2 linked regions of the Rhinolophus ferrumequinum genome follow. Each later gene encodes a partner of the first gene's protein in a complex. Links are inferred from orthologs where the notes say so. Each region holds a gene or a part of one and is shown in the gene's direction. Other genes may lie near its edges.

The links.
Region 2: the proteins of GRM5 (region 1) and HOMER1 are in contact, whole or in part, in a crystal structure (PDB 1DDV), measured with the Rattus norvegicus proteins. The link is inferred for Rhinolophus ferrumequinum from reciprocal best matches to the Homo sapiens genes GRM5 and HOMER1. Residues at the interface, in XP_006229721.1 of Rattus norvegicus: Thr1155, Pro1156, Pro1157, Phe1160; in NP_113895.1 of Rattus norvegicus: His12, Phe14, Trp24, Thr70, Ser71, Gln72, Lys73, Phe74, Gly89, Phe90.

Annotation. Positions count from the first base shown.
Region 1 is NC_046294.1:61,184,917-61,193,036, reverse strand, and holds the start of GRM5 (metabotropic glutamate receptor 5), read left to right. Parts: upstream 1-4,481; 5' UTR 4,482-4,837; intron 4,838-6,832; exon of another isoform or gene 6,833-7,020; intron 7,021-8,120. UniProt on the Homo sapiens protein: G-protein coupled receptor for glutamate. Ligand binding causes a conformation change that triggers signaling via guanine nucleotide-binding proteins (G proteins) and modulates the activity of down-stream effectors.
Region 2 is NC_046290.1:51,146,796-51,155,718, reverse strand, and holds the start of HOMER1 (homer protein homolog 1), read left to right. Parts: upstream 1-5,677; 5' UTR 5,678-6,960; coding exon 6,961-6,965; intron 6,966-8,923. UniProt on the Homo sapiens protein: Postsynaptic density scaffolding protein. Binds and cross-links cytoplasmic regions of GRM1, GRM5, ITPR1, DNM3, RYR1, RYR2, SHANK1 and SHANK3.

The DNA of each region.
Region 1 (8,120 bases):
GGATCAGTAGGTTGTCCACGTTCTCTACTCAAAGAAGAGCAAGGGGCAGTTTTCAAGTGTCAAGCTGTTAGGCTTGAAACCCAGTAGGCACTATGGCACAGCCTTTGCATCAGGGCTCAAAGTCTAATTGAATCTGGGTATTCACTCTGGGCTCTCAGGGGAGTGCTTTGCATATTGTGATGGCAGGGTTAAGCATGACCAGGGATCACAGTGAGAAGATGAGTATCTCTGTTTGCCACATGTATGCCAAGAGCGCTGGTTGGACAGGGCTTTGTCTTAGAAAACACTGATGGAAGTAGTTGTAGTTTCCCAAGTACTGAGACAATAAAGCTCTTTTGTTACAGAGTTTTTTACCCAGTATCATGACAAATTGAAAAATTTCCAGGGCCACATTCTAAATCTGTCTTGACTGGAGAATAGAAATATAAGTGACACTAGACCCATAAATAATAACTTCTTTGAGTTAAATTTCCATGTTTTGCCTGGAATTTGGATTGAAGTTTTATACAATACCATGTAATATGAAAAAAAGTTTCTATATTTGCTGTAAAAGTCTTTTTGAAGACATTGAGCTTTTAAGAGCCATTTATATAAGGGTCTGTGTAATAATATTAGCAATTAGTAATAGCAGCAACAACATTTTTTTCTAAGAACTGACTCATTTTCTAATATTAGATAATGATAATTAGGTAAAACATTTTCCCTTTTTTGTGTGTTTTCTAGTGAACTCATAACTAAATGTGTTCTGGTAGACCATAGATACTATATTAGTCACAATAATTTCTGTGTTTGTCACCTCCTCTTTCTTCATTGTTTTCATTTTCTATTTCCAATGACTTTCATATATAATTGCCTCATTCACATTTAGAAAGTAGGCTGATAAAGTTATTAAATAAAATCAGGTAAATTTATTAAATAAAAACAACCTCCATTTTGCAGTTGAGCAATCTGAGATATAGTGAAGGTTTTCCAAGCTCTACTTCATCAACACCAATGTCTTTTCAGTTTTCAAAACATGGTAAGTGTTCTCCTGTCTCTGAAGTTCCAGCTGTTATTCACTATGCCTGTAACCCCCTTCCTTTCTTCCCTCCCTCTGGTTAATCATCTCTTCTTACCCACAACCCACACAATACACAGACGATATTCTTTGCAAGTTGATTCTTTTGCATCTTTACTAAATATTACTGTCTCAGAGAGATTTTCTGACTGTCCTAAACAAACAAGATGCCTAGGGTCCTTCTTATGCTTTGCTGTTCTTTATAAGTTGTTCAATTCTTTACTGTACCTCACACCAGTTACAAGACATGTTAGTTAGTTTGTTGTTTGTGTGCCTCTTACTTGAATTTATTCCATTCACCATTGCATCCCCAACACCTAGCCATGCCTGATACATAGTAGTTTAATAAATATCTAATAAATGGCATGAATGAATCAATAAACATATATACACTCATACATACTTAATAACCATAGGTTTTCTAAAGTCAATACTATATTTATTTTATTCATCATTCTGTTGCAGTCTTTGTATTGTAACTGGCAGAGAGAGAGAGAGAAAGAAAGAGAGAGAGATGTTTGATGAGTATTTATTAAGTGAATGAAAAAATATTCCCTCAGAGAAATTATTTCAAAAAGCCATTTATAATCTGTTATTTGATGGGTTCAGATAACCACAGAGTTGCAAAACATTTAGAATTGCAATAATCCTTTTGGACTCTAGAATGTGAGCTAGCTAAGTTTAAGAAACACAAATGGAAAAACTGAATGTAAGAGGTGGGTAAGTGTACCCAGGTTGGAAAGAAGTGTTGTCTTTCAGTAGTCTTGCAAACCTCCTATAAATATTCACATGATTTACTGTCAGTGATAGCAAATAGGAAAATGAAGGTCAGCATGGAACATGTATACCTCTATTTTCTTAAGTATTTATTTAAACATTCAAATATATTTATTGAGTAGTTTCTATGTGCCAGAATTTTCTTCTGATTATTGAGAGTATATAGGTAAAATAAACAAAGATTTCTTTCCTTGAGGAGTTTACATTGTAATAAGAAGGAAGGGAAGAGACAGACAATAAATAATAATCATAACAAATTAATAAATTATTTAGTATATTAGACTGTAGTAAGAGATAACGGGGCAAACATAGAGCTGTATAAAGGGGATCAAGAAGAGCACTGAGATCATGAGGTGTAGTAGTTTACAGTAGGGTAGTCTGGGAAGGCCTCATTAGGGAGGTAAGATTTTAGCAAAGAATTTAAGGAAAGAAGTTAGCCCAGTGGTTATGTGGGAACAGAGCATTCCAAGCAGAAGAAACAGCTAATGCAAAGACCACTAAATTGAAGCATGTCAGGCATGTTTAAGAAATAGCAAGGGAGTCTTGGTGGCTGAAGTAGAATGAGCAAAGGGGGAGAGTACTAGGAAATGAGGTCAGAAAGGTAATGGAGTGGAGACAGATTATGAAGCATAATAGGAAAGACTTGGGCTTTGACTGAGTGAAATGGAAAGTTATTGGAGGGTTTTGATTTAAGTTAACTTCTTGCAAAGTACACGCTGGCTGCTGTATTGAATATAACCTGTAAAGAAAAAGTAAAGAAGCTGAAAGACTTGTTGGAAGCTATTGCTGTAACCAGGTAAAAGATGATGGTGGCTCGATTCAACATGGTATCTGTGAAGGTGATTAGAAGTGGTAGGATTCTGGAGATATTTTGAAGGTAGATTCAAGAGGATGTCCTGACAAATTGTCATGTGTGAGAGAAAGAGAGGAACTGATGAAAATTCCAAATTTTAAACTAATCAATTATAAATATAAATGACTCTTTTCATTCATTTTTACTATTCTACACAAGAATTACAATATTTTGCTTATTGATAGCTCATCCTAAGGCAAAAGTCATACCCTTGAGCAATTTACAATTAGTACTTATTTTGGGAACTTAAAACATTGTTTCTATACTCCTTTTAATTTTAATTTTACCTAATTCAGCACTTTACAGTTAAGAGGTAAAGCAATATTGTAAAATGTCACTGAACAATTTAAGATTACATAATTTTGTTTTTCTTCTTATCTGAAAATATCACTACGGTTCAACATTGGGAATGTCCTTTACATTTTAGCTTTTAGAGCACAGGAAGTATCTTGGTAAACAATAAATTACCTTTATGGAGTGCTTTATCATTTCTGACAGGCTTTGACATGTCTTATCTCATCCAAGCTTCTCCATAACCCTGGGAGACAGCAGGGAACAAAATACTTGTAGGAAATTGAAGAGTTTAAGTGACTGAGTGTTCACCATTAGAACCCTTTTTACCTGAGCTCAGCTCACACACGTTGTGTACTTTGAGCCCATTCCAACTGATGAAGAAGGATGGGGAACTCGGTGTGTCCTATGTTCACTCAAAGCTAAGTGTCCCAGACAAGGATCAAATCTATGACCTCATCCTCAATGCCGATGCTCCAGCAAATTGGGCTAGCAAACCATTATACATATCAGATTTAATTACATCTCCAGAATCACCTGGTCATTAGTTACTGTTAATTTTCCTCAGAACGCTCTCACTTTTTTTTTTTTTTTTTTTTTTTTGTATTTTCTCATTTATACCATCTTTCTCATCTTTCTTATTCAGGAAGATCAACCACAGCTTTTCTGGCCTCTCTACAAAGCTTGCTTTGTGGATTGTAATCAAAGAATTTCAAAAATGAATGCCACCATCAGAGTACACATGAAAATGTGCCATTGTAATAATCAACAAGGTGTGGTAGATACATATCTTTTTCCTTTTTCTTGTTGAATCCTGAAGTTATCAAGGAACTTGCCTTGTTTTCAAGGGTCTGGTGGGAAAGGTACATTAGTAGTTTATGTATCAGGACCAACCCCCTCGACTTCAGTGTCTTCATTTTTAATATTTCATCCAATTGCTGCAATATTTGGCTCCCAAAATTCAGCTAAGGAAATATAGTGGGAATTATCATATCACTACAATGTCTTTCTTTTCTTTAAATTAAGTCATGCAATTAATTTACACCAATCTCTTTTGCAGAAGCAGAAATTAAGTGCTTTGGGAATTGAAAGATAACCTCAGCATTTTTTTTTACAGTCTTGGTGAGTTATAGGGATGATGGGGGAAGGGAAGCAAAGTCATCTGAGGAAGTAAAAGATATTTAACTGCTTTGAAGGAAGAAATTTTAATGGATGTAGAAAGAATCATTTGTAAGAAGGGCAGACATGCAAAATGGCATTATTAATAAGTCGTACCATTAAAGAGACCGTTCTTTCTAACCACTCACACCTCTGAATCATTTTGGGGTTCCCTGACTTCCTGGTTCTCCCTACCCTCCAGCAGTGACGCCCCTTTTCCCAATCACTTAAGTGCCATCGGCAGAGAGAGGCTTATCATCTACCTGCTCCCCCAGCTGCTCTGAGTGACATACCACCCACGCCTCCCCACACAGCTCTTCTCTTTCGGCGGCTCCAGGAGGGAAGCTGAGGAGCTGCAGAGGGAACCTGAGGCTACCCTCTTCAGCACGCCGAGACTATGAAGCTTCAGGACACTTGTCACCCACCGAGTCGGTACCCTGGAGGGCCGACCGCCCCCCGCCGCGCGCTGCAGGAGTAGGCGCTGCGCTTCCAGCTGCGGCTGCCAGAGTGCGGCACGTGCTCCCAGCGCTGGCGCGGGAGAGCGAGCGCCACCGCCGCGGGCCCGGAGCCGCTCCGCCCGCTGCTACCGCTGCCTCCATCGCCACCGCTAGCGCTCCCGCCGCAGCCAAGGCCGCTAAAGGAGCGCAGGAAGCCCGCGAGGAGCGGCTGGCTGGGGGCGCCCGGCTCAGGGCGCGCACCTGGTAAGCACGGCGCGTTTTTCTTTCTTTCAGCTCTAGAATCAACACGCATGTAGGGATACGGCCGGAGCCCCTCCCCCAGCACAAGGCTGGACAGCATTCAGGCAAGGGGCGGGAGCTTGAGCGAAGGGACCCAGGAGGGCAGGTGGTGGGCAGGTGGAGAACTGGTGGAGCCAGGGACGCTGCGAGGTCCTGCAAGTTTAGAAAAGTCACCCTGCAAGGACATGTGCTGTGTGAATCAGACATGAATTTCTAGTCAGAAGACCAGGCTACAACGGCATTGCTCCAATGAAAGGTTTATGAAGATGATTTTGCTTTTACTTGCATAAGTGAGGGATTTAAGTGGGCTCGTTTCCATAGAAAACGAACTAAAAAAAAAATCAGAGATCTGAGCCAAAGGAGGTGTTTGCACCTCTCTCTCTCTCTCTCTCTCTCTCTCTCTCTCTCTCTCTCTCTCTCTCTCTCTCTCATCCAGGCATGTGCACAAGGGGTGCATTTATGTAGGGAGAGGGCTTCTCTCTATTCGAGGTCATTAGGTGTTTGGGGAGCTATAAAAGCCTCTGCTGTTGCTTCACCCGAAAAAGAGGCAGCAAAAGAAGGGACCGTGTTGGGTATGAATGCCAGTGTTCCATTTCTAATATGACACTTCCATGACTACACGAACAGGAAGGAGAGGTTTTCTAGAACAGGGGGCCATTTTAAGGGGTTACACATGCCACTCTGGACCTATAAGCTCAAGTTCATGTCCTCCCACTGGGGCTAGGAAGACATCTTTCGGTTCCTTTATGGAACTTTGGCAAAGGATGAGGTTAGAGTAAGGGCTGTGAGGAGAGAGAGGGAAGAGAAGGGAACTGAATGGGACTGAATGGGCTGTGTGGGGAGGTAAAAGGAGCAGGAGCCTGGAAGTCAGGCGTGGCATCACTGTGTTCATTCAGTTCCACCCTGAGTAGCCCCTGAGTTGGTCTCTAGGGAAACGTGTGACCTTGAAAGAGTTCCTTAACCTCTGTGTTTCTCCATGTGAAAAATGTAGAGGTTCTTCTGTGTTTTGGGACACTAAGGTCCCATGCAATAGTGTCTATGATTGTATGGGTTTGCGTATCTGCATACAAGGACGGAAGAGCACCCAGAAAATCCAGAAAAAGGAAGCTTCAGGGCATTTTTCCTCAAAGTAGCAAAGGCATTTGCAGGCTCCTGGCTGTCCTGTTGTTGTAATGCATGCGGAGAGGTCTGTAGAAACGGGCAACAGGACAATCAGAAACGCAGGCTATAGCCATGGGAGCCGGAGTGCTGAGTGCCATTTGGAGAGGTTCAGGTCCGCGGAGACTAAAGTCACATGCTTTTTTTAAGGTAGCAATTATAGGAGAATTGGTCGCAAGCTATGAAGTTCTTTCAATTTGAGCATTTGGGAAATAATCTGGAATTGATTCTAACACACACACACACACACACACACACACACACAATGAATGGCATCCCATTTTAAAGGTTGGGCACTCAGTATGGCAGGAAGAAGGTTTTAGAGTGAGATCTGAGAATACTGTAATCTGGGCAGAGGGGTTGGAGGGAGAAGGAAATGGATATCCTTCCTGAGACTAGGGTTCCTAGATTCCTAGGAGGCAACTGGCATCTGTCCAGTGTCCTTGACATCTCTGCCACTTGTCTGAAGAAGGCACAGGTATCACTTCTCCCTCAATACAAGCTCATTCTTAGAACTTAGGGATCTCCTTTCCAGGTGCTGAGATATGAAGGTGCACATAGGAAAACTGAAGTCCTAGGGGTGCTTCCTGCAGTCCCCCACCATATGAGCATCTGGCCTTGGAGCTGGTTTACCTATCCAGATTGACCCAAAGTCTGTGTTCCTAAAGCAACTCACTGTGCCACTTGGTGGCACCAAAAAGTTGCGCTGAGAACTCTGTTCTCTATAAATACAAACTACCACCCCTCCCGCCTCCGCACTCTCCCCTTCCCCCCTTCTCCCCTTTCTCAGTAGCAGGGAGATTGCTGCACAAGCCGCCCTCAGCTCTGCTGTTCTTCGAGCACTGAGAGCAGGAGATGAGCTTAAGATCATCTTTGGGGGGTAGCCCAGGACTGGAGAGGCCGGCTCTGCCCAGCTGATCCACACAGCCCAACTTTAAGGGGGGCTAGCTAGACCGTGTCTCACTGCCTGCTGCGCGGCCAACAGGGGGGTAAGCTTGCTAAGCGTCTGTGTGCCTAAGTGTCCCTGGCTGGGAAGGATGTAGGAGCTCTCAACTTGCTGGGTAGCTCACAGTTTGGTTTGGGGAGGGGGATGAGGGTGGAGCAGGGGGTGGACAGAACCTCCAGATTGAAGTCTGCTCCATTTGCTGGTGGCCTTAATTAAACCTGTTGGGAGTAAAAGCGAGAGCAATGGGTAAAGGAAGGAACAGCTGCCAAGGTTGAGAAAGGGACTCTGCATGCCTTCAGATCTGAGTTCCCGCTCCCTAAAGCCAGGTACGTGTGTTTAGAATGCAGACTGTGCTTCCCCAAACCACCCGAGGGCTCAGAATTGAGAGAAGAACAGGTAGAGAGGGAAAGGAAGGAGAGTTGCTTCCCAATAGCTCGGTTAGCTGCAGCGACCCGAGCTCTTGCTACAGGAAGAGGGGGACAGCGGGTGGTGCTGAAAGCACAGCTCTTTCAAACAGGCTAGCTTGCCTCTTTCTAAACCTCAGTCTGCGCCCTCCCGCTCTTTCTTTCTTCCCCTTCTAACACAAAGCCTGCTAGTTTCCCCGGAGCGGCACCATGAGCAGCATGGTGAGGAGGGAGCCCAGGAAACAGTGACTTGGGGAAAGAACCCAGGGCAGGCCCGCGAGCTAGCCGGTGACCAGAGCCTAACCTGCACTTGGAACCTCACCAATGTACTTGAAAAGTCTACCTGGGGGTTCTTGGAACCGGTGCTGGAATTTCCCACTGCTCCCATTTCCCTCCAGAGCAGGTGCTGTGGGGAAGGGAAATTGAGGCAAGGTTAAGGAGCACTTGTGCTTATTTAGGCACAATCTTGGTACAGCCTCAGCTGAACTGTAAGCTTGAGCAGCCAGGCAGATAGATTCTCAGCATTTTACATCCCGCTAAGAAATTGACACAGTCCAGTGGGAAGGCAGAGTCTCCCTTCCACCTTCTTCTTCATTCCCCACATGTGGTTTTATTGTTCTGAGTCCCTAGAGACTGAGCTAGAGCGAATCTGTATTCTTAATGCTGGCTGCTGGCCATTTGAGGCAGCCAAGGGAGCATTGCCATGTACTAGGCGCAGCCCCTTCCCCAAGTGGGCATG
Region 2 (8,923 bases), on another chromosome or scaffold:
CAGGCATAAAGGAGAAAATTCCTCAGTCTCTTTCCCTCCCTTCTTGCTTTGGATGCTCTTTGTGAGAATGTGATGCCCAGACATGCAATGGTCTTTTAACAACCACAAGACAATAAGCCAGATGGCAATGTGAAAGGCTAGAAAGAACCTGGCCCCTAATGACACCTTGGACCGTCCAAAACAACTGTAGGACCACCTTCCTACAGACTTCTGGTTAAGTAAATAAGCAAATAAAAATCAGTCTTATAGCTTAAGTCACCATTAGGTGGGGTTTCTGTTCCTTGCAGTTGTGACACCAACTTACACACTAGTAATGGGAGGGTGGGGGGTGATAATCAAGGTAAGAAAGGATCTCAGGTGCCCATCAAGCTGTGCCTCTTAGGCCAAGGCGTGGAGTTTGGATTTTATTCTAAGGATAAGGCATTTTAGCAGATGATCCAGTCAACACAGGTATATAATATAGACCTATCTATCTCTATTTACATGTATGTCTATATACGTATTTATTATGTATATGATAAAATATAATTCATCATTAAAATAATAGAATAGATATTAACTAAAGATATATTTACCATTGCTATTTTAAGTTTTAGATAAATTATTATTTAGAACCAGATTAAAAAAATAAAAAGCCTCACGAATAACTCATCAAATATCTTGGCTGAAACTCCCAAATGTTAGTAATTTTTATTTATTCTGACATCTTATGTTTGGGAGAACCTTTAATACAGTTTCTAGATATTGCATCTGCTCGCTTTAGCTATTTCAGAGTCTTTACCAATTATGTTCTGCTTCAGAGAGTTTCCAATTGCCATCTTAAACCCCCATCTCTCTTTGAAATAGTCTAAATTTTTTTGCCCCGGCCTTATCTCTTTGATAAGAAGGCAACTTCCTTTCATAAGCATAGCTGTCCTAAATACCTTGGGTGTTGTTTTCTTCCTAGCTGGCACCAAAGGAATGACAAAATAAGGTAGCTAATTTAAAATATTTTCCTCATGGCTGTTCTGTTCCTCCATTCAGGAAAAAGATTACTGGTTACCATGGCAATCAGCTTCCACAGCATTCCATTCTAAGTAACGGCACAGGTATAGCCCAAGCTTTACTCCACGTTCTTTACTGTAGCTCTCTGCAGATCTGCATCTTTTACAGCCTGTTCTCTGCAACTGCTGTTTAGAACAATCAACCAACCAACCAAACAGCCTGCAGTTAAGCCAGATAATTATTTCAAAGGAACCATATCCCCATCTTTTCTGAATGTTTAACAAACTTACATATGTAGTTGTACAATAATTTTCTCACAGCACCAACTGAAAACTTTCTGGTATGTTCTTTCATAAGTCTGAGATTATATTTGTATCTCTTTAATGACCATATTTAGAAAACAATGAATTTACAGTAAAAATCAGAGCAAGAGATCAGAGCAAGATAGTCCTATGAGATCATTTCCCATGCACTCTACATCATATCGTTCCTGAGGACATTTTCTAACTTCCCTCCGTCCATCATTCCCAAACCCTTTGATGAAACAGTGCACACATTCAGAAGAGTAAAATTTGTCCTCGAGTCATTGTCTTGGAGATGCCAAACACTTATACTTCCACCCTTAAGACTATTAACTACTCTGTTTCTGTTCAGAACATTAAAGATAATAATAAAAGATGGTTTTGAACAGGCCAAAAACATTTTACTGGCACCCAATATCTGCTATATTGTGGAGGAGGTGGGATGACTTTGGAGAATTAACTGGATAAATTCTGTTTCCCTACCACTCTTTCTTTTTTTTTTTTTTAATCATTACTTTCAGTCTTTGCTAGGAAAGACTAAAACTTCATAACTAGAAATCTTAAGATTTCTATTGTATGTAGAGATATCTTTTATTTCTACCTTTACTTGAAGCAGTAGTGGAATTTTGGTCATTAAAAAGAGGGAACTTGGAAGGGAGTTGCTATCATCTAATGCTAAGCAATTAAAAATAAAATGTGGCTTTAACCCTCTTCCTTGCAAAGTTTTTCTATCTCCTAAATGTCTTTTCATTGAAAAAGACATATCTCATGACCAATCTATGAACATCCATTGAATACTGCCATCTCCTATTAAGGGCATGGAAGTAAACTCTGTAACTAAAACAGATGCCTCCAGCCCACAGATTCTAAAATCAGAGGGTATTCATGAACCTCTCCACAAATTTTCAGAGTGTAGTGGGAAACAGGAACTGTGAAAAATTTGAAACTCTGCTAAAGTACTTTCTTCCTCTTCCAGAAAAAGAAAATACATCACTTTCTAGAAAGTTCACTACTTTAAAACACATACAATTAGGGTTAGAAATTCATGGCTAGCATTTGGGTTACAGCAGCTCAGTTTTAGGAGAAAAGATATTTAATTTTCATGGAAAGCCATAGACTGGTTCTCTGACTCCTCTCAAAATTGTATTAGAATTGTTTAAGGAGGAGAAAGGGGCATTTACTTTATTATTTTTTTATGGGAAGATATTCAATGAAACATAAAATGTCTTATTCCTTTGGGTACATATGTATTCCCTGATATACTAAACCCACACAAACTAGAAAGAAACATTGACCAATTATTGGCAGAATTTTCTAGAGTAAAAGCAGGAGCTGAAGTTAAATAATCGCATAAACTTTGAGTAATTCTATCACAATGCACCATTAGATTTATATAGAAAAAGGTTGCTCTCAATTTTCAGTTGACAAAAGAGCAGTTGAGAAGAGGTCATATAGCTTTGAAAGGTAGAAACCCTAATGAAGGGTCAGCATTCTGAAAGCACGGATGCAGTTGATATGCTGTTTTGACAGTTGGGTAAAGATGAGGGGGAATAAGATTGTAAACCAGGAGGAGTCATGATAAAAGGGGAGAATGAAGTGTTTGATAATGACAAAGTGAGAGCTTGACTTAACATGGACAGAAAGAGCAGGAAAGAGAAAAGTAATTTAGTTCAGATAGGAAATAATTTGTAGAGAAATTTTAGTAGAGTAATAACTTAATTTTTATTTTAATTTGCAAGGGCCAAGGGATGACATTATTTGAAGAATGACAGTTTTATTGTTTTAATATTTTATACATAAGAAGCTCCATTTATCTGAAATATAATTTAGTACAAGTTTTTACTAACATGACAATATATATTAAATAAATTGTCAAGCAGGAGTTTGCTTTTGAATAACCTTTGTTATAACCCTAAAAAACAAACACAAAAAGCAAAAAACAAAACTACTTTTTTTTAAGACTTTAAATTTTTTTTTTATTTTTATTGGGGAATATTGGGGAACAGTGTGTTTCTCCAGGGCCCATCAGCTCCAAGTGGTTGTCCTTCAATCTAGTTGTGGAGGGCGCAGCTCAGCTCCAAGACCAGTCACCATTTTCAGTCTGGTTGTATGGGGCGCAGCCCACCATTCCATTTTCAATCTAGTTGCAGGGGGTGCAACCCACCATCCCATGTGGGAATTGAACCGTCAATCTTGTTGTTGAGAGCTCTGTGCTCTTAACCAACGGAGCCATCTGGCAGCCCCTCCGGAAGCTCAGTGTCAGCTTGTTGTCTTTAATCTAGTTGTGGAGGGCATAGCTCACTGGTCCATGTGGGAATCCAACCAGCAACCCTGTTGTTCAGCGCTCGTGCTCTAACCAACTGAGCCATCCAGCCGTCCCAAAACTACTTTCACTATTTCAAATTATAAGCGAGATCATGATTTTATAATGTGAAGATAACCAGAAAGCCTGATTTAGTTACAAATTGGTCCTATTTTGGCTGGTGTCCTTTAATATTGGGCTCCTAACTTGATCAAGAAAATGTAGATGCAGAAAGCTATAAAACCAATATTCCTTAATTGGGAATCATGTCAGTAGTTTGATATTAAAAACCATTTTTTAAAAAGCCACACAGGGTATAAATTCTGTAGCGTTTTAATTTCTTTTATTTAAACTGCATTGGTATCCATTTATAGCTCTTCTAACAATCAGTTTATATGTTGGTAATCCTATGCCCTGGATTTTCAAGGTTACTTCAGATTTCAAATATTTTGTCTATTGTCAAATGATGTGTCTGGGTTTGGACAATGTGGTCACTGAATTTATAGACTAACTCTGAAATAGCAATGGCCTTTGGCATTATGTAGTAATTCTATTTCTGGGTCATGACTATCAAATTAAATCAAATCAAAGTTGATTAGTTAAGTCTACCTAACAAACTATCAAAGTAATGACAATTTAAGATTTTGTAGTAATTTGTAACTTGAGAAGCATTTGTTATATTATTTATTATACACACACAACTAGTAAACTTATAAGTGGCTTATAAGAAATGAAATATAGGAAATGAAAAACACATACTTAAGAGGTACTTTAATGATATATTCTACGGCCAAAACTAAGGAAGACAAAAATAATCTAAATGTGCTTGTGTTACTGTTGAAAAGAATTTGGTGATCTTAGTTTTAATTTCCATAGACTGGAACTTATATTCTTGATAAACCAGAATTTAAAGGGTATACTGGCATCTATAACGATAATTATGAGTGAACTTTCTAAGTTAGGATTGACTTATTATCCTATGCCAGAAGTTTGCTGTTGTGCAAATGTAAACACTGAGATCATTTGATGGCCTTCTCCCCCTTCCCCTTGGGTTACTATCTTTTGTAACATTATAACATTTGCTGATGATTCTGCTCTTTATTCTTTTCGTGATTTAAGTATCAGTAAGCTGGCGGGGGGGAGGGGTGTTTTAAAATCAACTATGTCCAGAAGGGCATTTAATAACTTTAGAAAATTATGGTGATTTTTCCCAAGTTTTGTTGGGAATATATCTAGCACTGGTGATCAGGCTTTCCTCCCACATTTCCGTGCTAGTTGGAACTTGAAAAGCCTGGGGATGCTTCTGCAACAGAGGTGGGAGTGGGAGATAGGATATCACCCGCTTGACACTTCGGTACCGTTGCTATGAATGATTCACTCGCGTTTGGCACATTTGTTGCGAGGAAATCGCCGCCGCCGCTTCCTTCTCCAAGCTCCTTTCAGGCTGTCTCCTGTGCTTTGGCCTTTAAGGATAAGCGAGAGCAGGTGGGTACAGAGGAGCTCGCCGAGTCCTCCTCCCCCTGCTCCTTCCCTAATTTAGCAGTACTTCCGGCCGCGTGACATCATCCCCCGCACCCCGGTGACGTGAGCGGCGGGTGACGAGTGTGCGGAGAAGAGCGCGCTGACGTTGCTATTTAAAGGTCCTCCTGCGGGGAGGATGGAGACACAGCGCGAGCACCTGGTGTGGGGTGCGGAGGAGGCTGTGGCGGCCGGGAGCGGGGCCAGGAGCCAGCGGAGCAGCAGAGCGCACAGTGCTCCCGCCGCCAGCCACTAGGGGAGGGGGTTAGGAAGGACGGACTGACGGACCTGCCGGCCCGACTAGCTCCCCACGCGGGCCGGCTCGGCTGCTGAGCACCAGCCTTCCCGCCGTCCTCGCGGCTGCTGCCTCCTCCTGCTGCACGCAGGGCCCCTCCGGCCTCTCGGGACTGTCAGCGACCCAGCCCCCGGCGCCCGGCCGCGTCTCCGCGGCATCGGCTGCCTCCCGCCCTCTCCCGCGAGCAGGGGGAGGGACAGCTCTCGCCCCCCGTTCTCCCCGCCCCGTCCCCCACCCCCACCCCCCCGCAGCCAGCTCTGCCGCCGCGATCGGCTCACGCGGGCGGCGCTGACCCGGGAACGGGCGCCCTCCGCTCTGCGAGCGGCCGGTGAAGGCGGAGGCAGCAGCGGGCTTCAGGGCCACCCGGGTCGGCGCTGCTCTGCTGAGCGGGAGCTGGAGACCGGCGGAGGCGGGCGGTGATGGAAGTGTGAGGAGGCGGCGCGTGGCGGCGGCGCGGAGCGTGAGAGGCGAGGAGCAGGGGTGGGGGCACCGGAGCAGCCGCTCTCCGGCGGCTTCGAGGCCGGCTCCCCTGCTCCCGACGTGGAATTAGCGCCCGTCGATCCTTCAGCCCAGTCCTCCCCTGCTCGGCCCGCCCCGGAGCGGGGCGCAGGGTGCCGGGGGCGGCGTGGAGCTTGGCTCTCTGATTCATTCATTCTCCGCCGACCTGCGGTGCTCGGAAGAGAGGAGGGAAGAGGGGGCAGCGGCGAATGAAGGGCCAGGCGCGATCCGGGCTCCATTGTGCTCGGCGGCGGGGGGCGGGAAGGGGCTGAGGGAGGTGGGATCGGGCCCCCTCCCTCTGCTCTCTTGTGTGCGCTGCGCCCCCAGCCTGCTGCCAGCCTGGAAATGGCTCCGTTTATTCTCGGGAGAATGAATCGATCCTGCCCAGCCTTCTCTTCTTCCTCCCCACCTCCTCTCTGCTTCGAGTCTTAAGAGAGGAGAAATTTAAGACAGATTCCAATGTGGAGTGCCGTGCACGTCGCGAGCTGCCGGGTTTGCACTTGGAGGAGATTTTTCTATATAGCTTTTTCTAATGTGAGCGCAGGGAAGCAGAAGCATTACTGCTTTTAGGATTTTTATTTTCTCTTAGGGATCTCTCAAGTGCACGTCGCATTGGGTTGCACGCTCCACCCCCAGGGACCTGGTGTGGTAGAGAAATTTGAACCTGCAGCCTTAGCACCGAAAAGACCGAGTTACCTGGCTCTCTGACTGTGGAGGAGGACGTGAGCGAAATGAACACGGAACTCTTTTTGTAGGATTCGGTGAAGCTGGATTCTGCGTTTTCCAACTCATAGACTCATTTTGTGGAATAGGGTTGACCGCTGTCTTCTCCGCGCAGCATTTTAACTCAAAAGCAAATGCCACCTTTGTTTGAACGTTTTGGTATTTACGAGAGAGAAATCATTTTACCTAAGAGAACTAATTGAATTGCCACATACCTCCAGAAAAGGACCTCGGGGGGTGGAAAAGCAACTGCGAAATAGCAGACGGAGAAATTCCTTTGGAAGTTCTATTCCGTAGCATAAGAGCAGAAACTTCAGAGCAAGTTTTCACTGGGCAAAATGGGGTAAGGATTTTTGTGCTTAACACAGCTCCGAATCTGTGTATGTGTGTGTGTCTGTGTGTGTTATTGATCAGTGGTGGATTGGAGATTGTCTGTGTTTTATGTTTTCAAATTTGCCACCTTGCTAAGCTGGCCATACTTTAAAAGTATAGGTGTGTTAACCTTTTAACATTTTTTTTTTTTGTAGAGTGATACCGGAGGTCATAGTTAAGAAACAAACATAGTAATATTTTAGAAGTAATGATTAAGAAGACAACACACTTGTGTTTTACTGTTCCAACTGCCGCATCAGTTTGTAATCAAAATCATGTTGTCTTAGGTTTTGTTGCCGGTGTCTTTCAGAGAAGTACTTACAGTACTGCATTCTCTTAGTGCTTTGAGAATAATCAATCAGTTGCACAAAGAAACAATTGTAAACTAATGAGTGGTTAGACTACAGTACTTGAAAATGAGCCAATGTAAATTGTTGCCCTCTTTGCCCTCTGCTTTGCCCTTGAGTAGCCAAAGCTAAAAAGTGCAGAATTGATTTATTGGGGCATTAAAACGAAAATCTGAAAGTCTTACTGATGTGGCCTCCACAGGGCGGGTGCACTTGGTAGATCAGAGCTTGAACAGGAAAGAGCTTTTTATTAAAGGAATGTGTTCACTTCTATTTTTTGCTTTTAAGCTCGGGTCTTCAATTTGTGTTAACAGTGTCAGCTCTTCACCTTCTTTCAGATCCAAAGTCAACCAAGAGTGCATTTTCCAACCTTTTATTAACTCTTCACACAGTAACTTGATAAAATGTTAGTGACTTCCTAATTTAAGTCAGAAACCCATAATTTATTAATGGAGTAATGATCTAGTCATTTCACTTACAGATTATTGATGCTTTTTGTCAAAGAGGAACTTCCAGATTTCCTCACCCACCTTCCCTATTTTTGTGGTGGTTGAACAAACATATCTAAAGTACAGTTAAGGGATGGTGATTGAAAGTATGTGCTTTTAAAATCATTGTGACAGTTTAGGGGTGTGCACCTCTAAACTTATTTTCTTGAAACTTTCAGAGGAAAGTTCTTAGATAGTAGTACCTTTATTTGTTGGAGTTAGAATTTGAAGTTTATTAAATGGAACAAGTTTGAAAATGTAGAACATATGTAGGAGTCCTTCATCAGGAATTAATTAAAAAAAACAGTAATTTTAAAATTTAAATGACAACTGATGAGAACATATGTAACTTGGATGATTTAGGGTACTATTAAAAGCAATTAAAATACCTCATTCTATTTCTAGTGCTGTTACTAGTAGCTTTGTGGTCTGAGGCAAATTACTTAACCTCCACAGACTTGTTTTCTTATCTGTAAAATGAAGGACTTGGATGAATTAAAAGTTTTTTTTTTCCAGTCTATAAAAGTGAATTGTTTTCTTTTTCTCCTTTCTTTTTTAGTGATTACTAATTGGTTTCTTGAAGTAAATCTTTCAGATGGAGAGATTGTTTTCTCTAAGCAGCTTTTAAGCGCGCAAGCTGGAAAACAATGACATTTGGAAAATGTTTTGGATGAATTGCACCAATTTTAGTAAGAGAAAATACTGAAAAATACTATTATTCAAAACAATTGAAGTATGGCTTCTCTTGAGAATCTGCAGCTCTTCTGTTTAAAACATTTCAGAGGAAAAAATAATTGGCAGTTTTTCATGTGGAAGGCTGCATTTTCTAGTCTGTGGAGTGGTAGTATCATGGAAGAAAATTGGTTTTCCACAGCCTTTAAGTTGCATGAATCCTCATCATTTTACCAAGGGAAATTTGGGATGAACTTAATACTAAGGTGACCGTATTTAATATATGCAAATAGACCCCACACATAGCATATATTTTAGATACATCGGTGTAATTAAATTTCTTTATAAAACATTTTATTTGCCCTTTTCTTAATAAAGTCTTAAAGGTGGACTGGAGAGGAAAAGGAGTGTTTATGGCATTA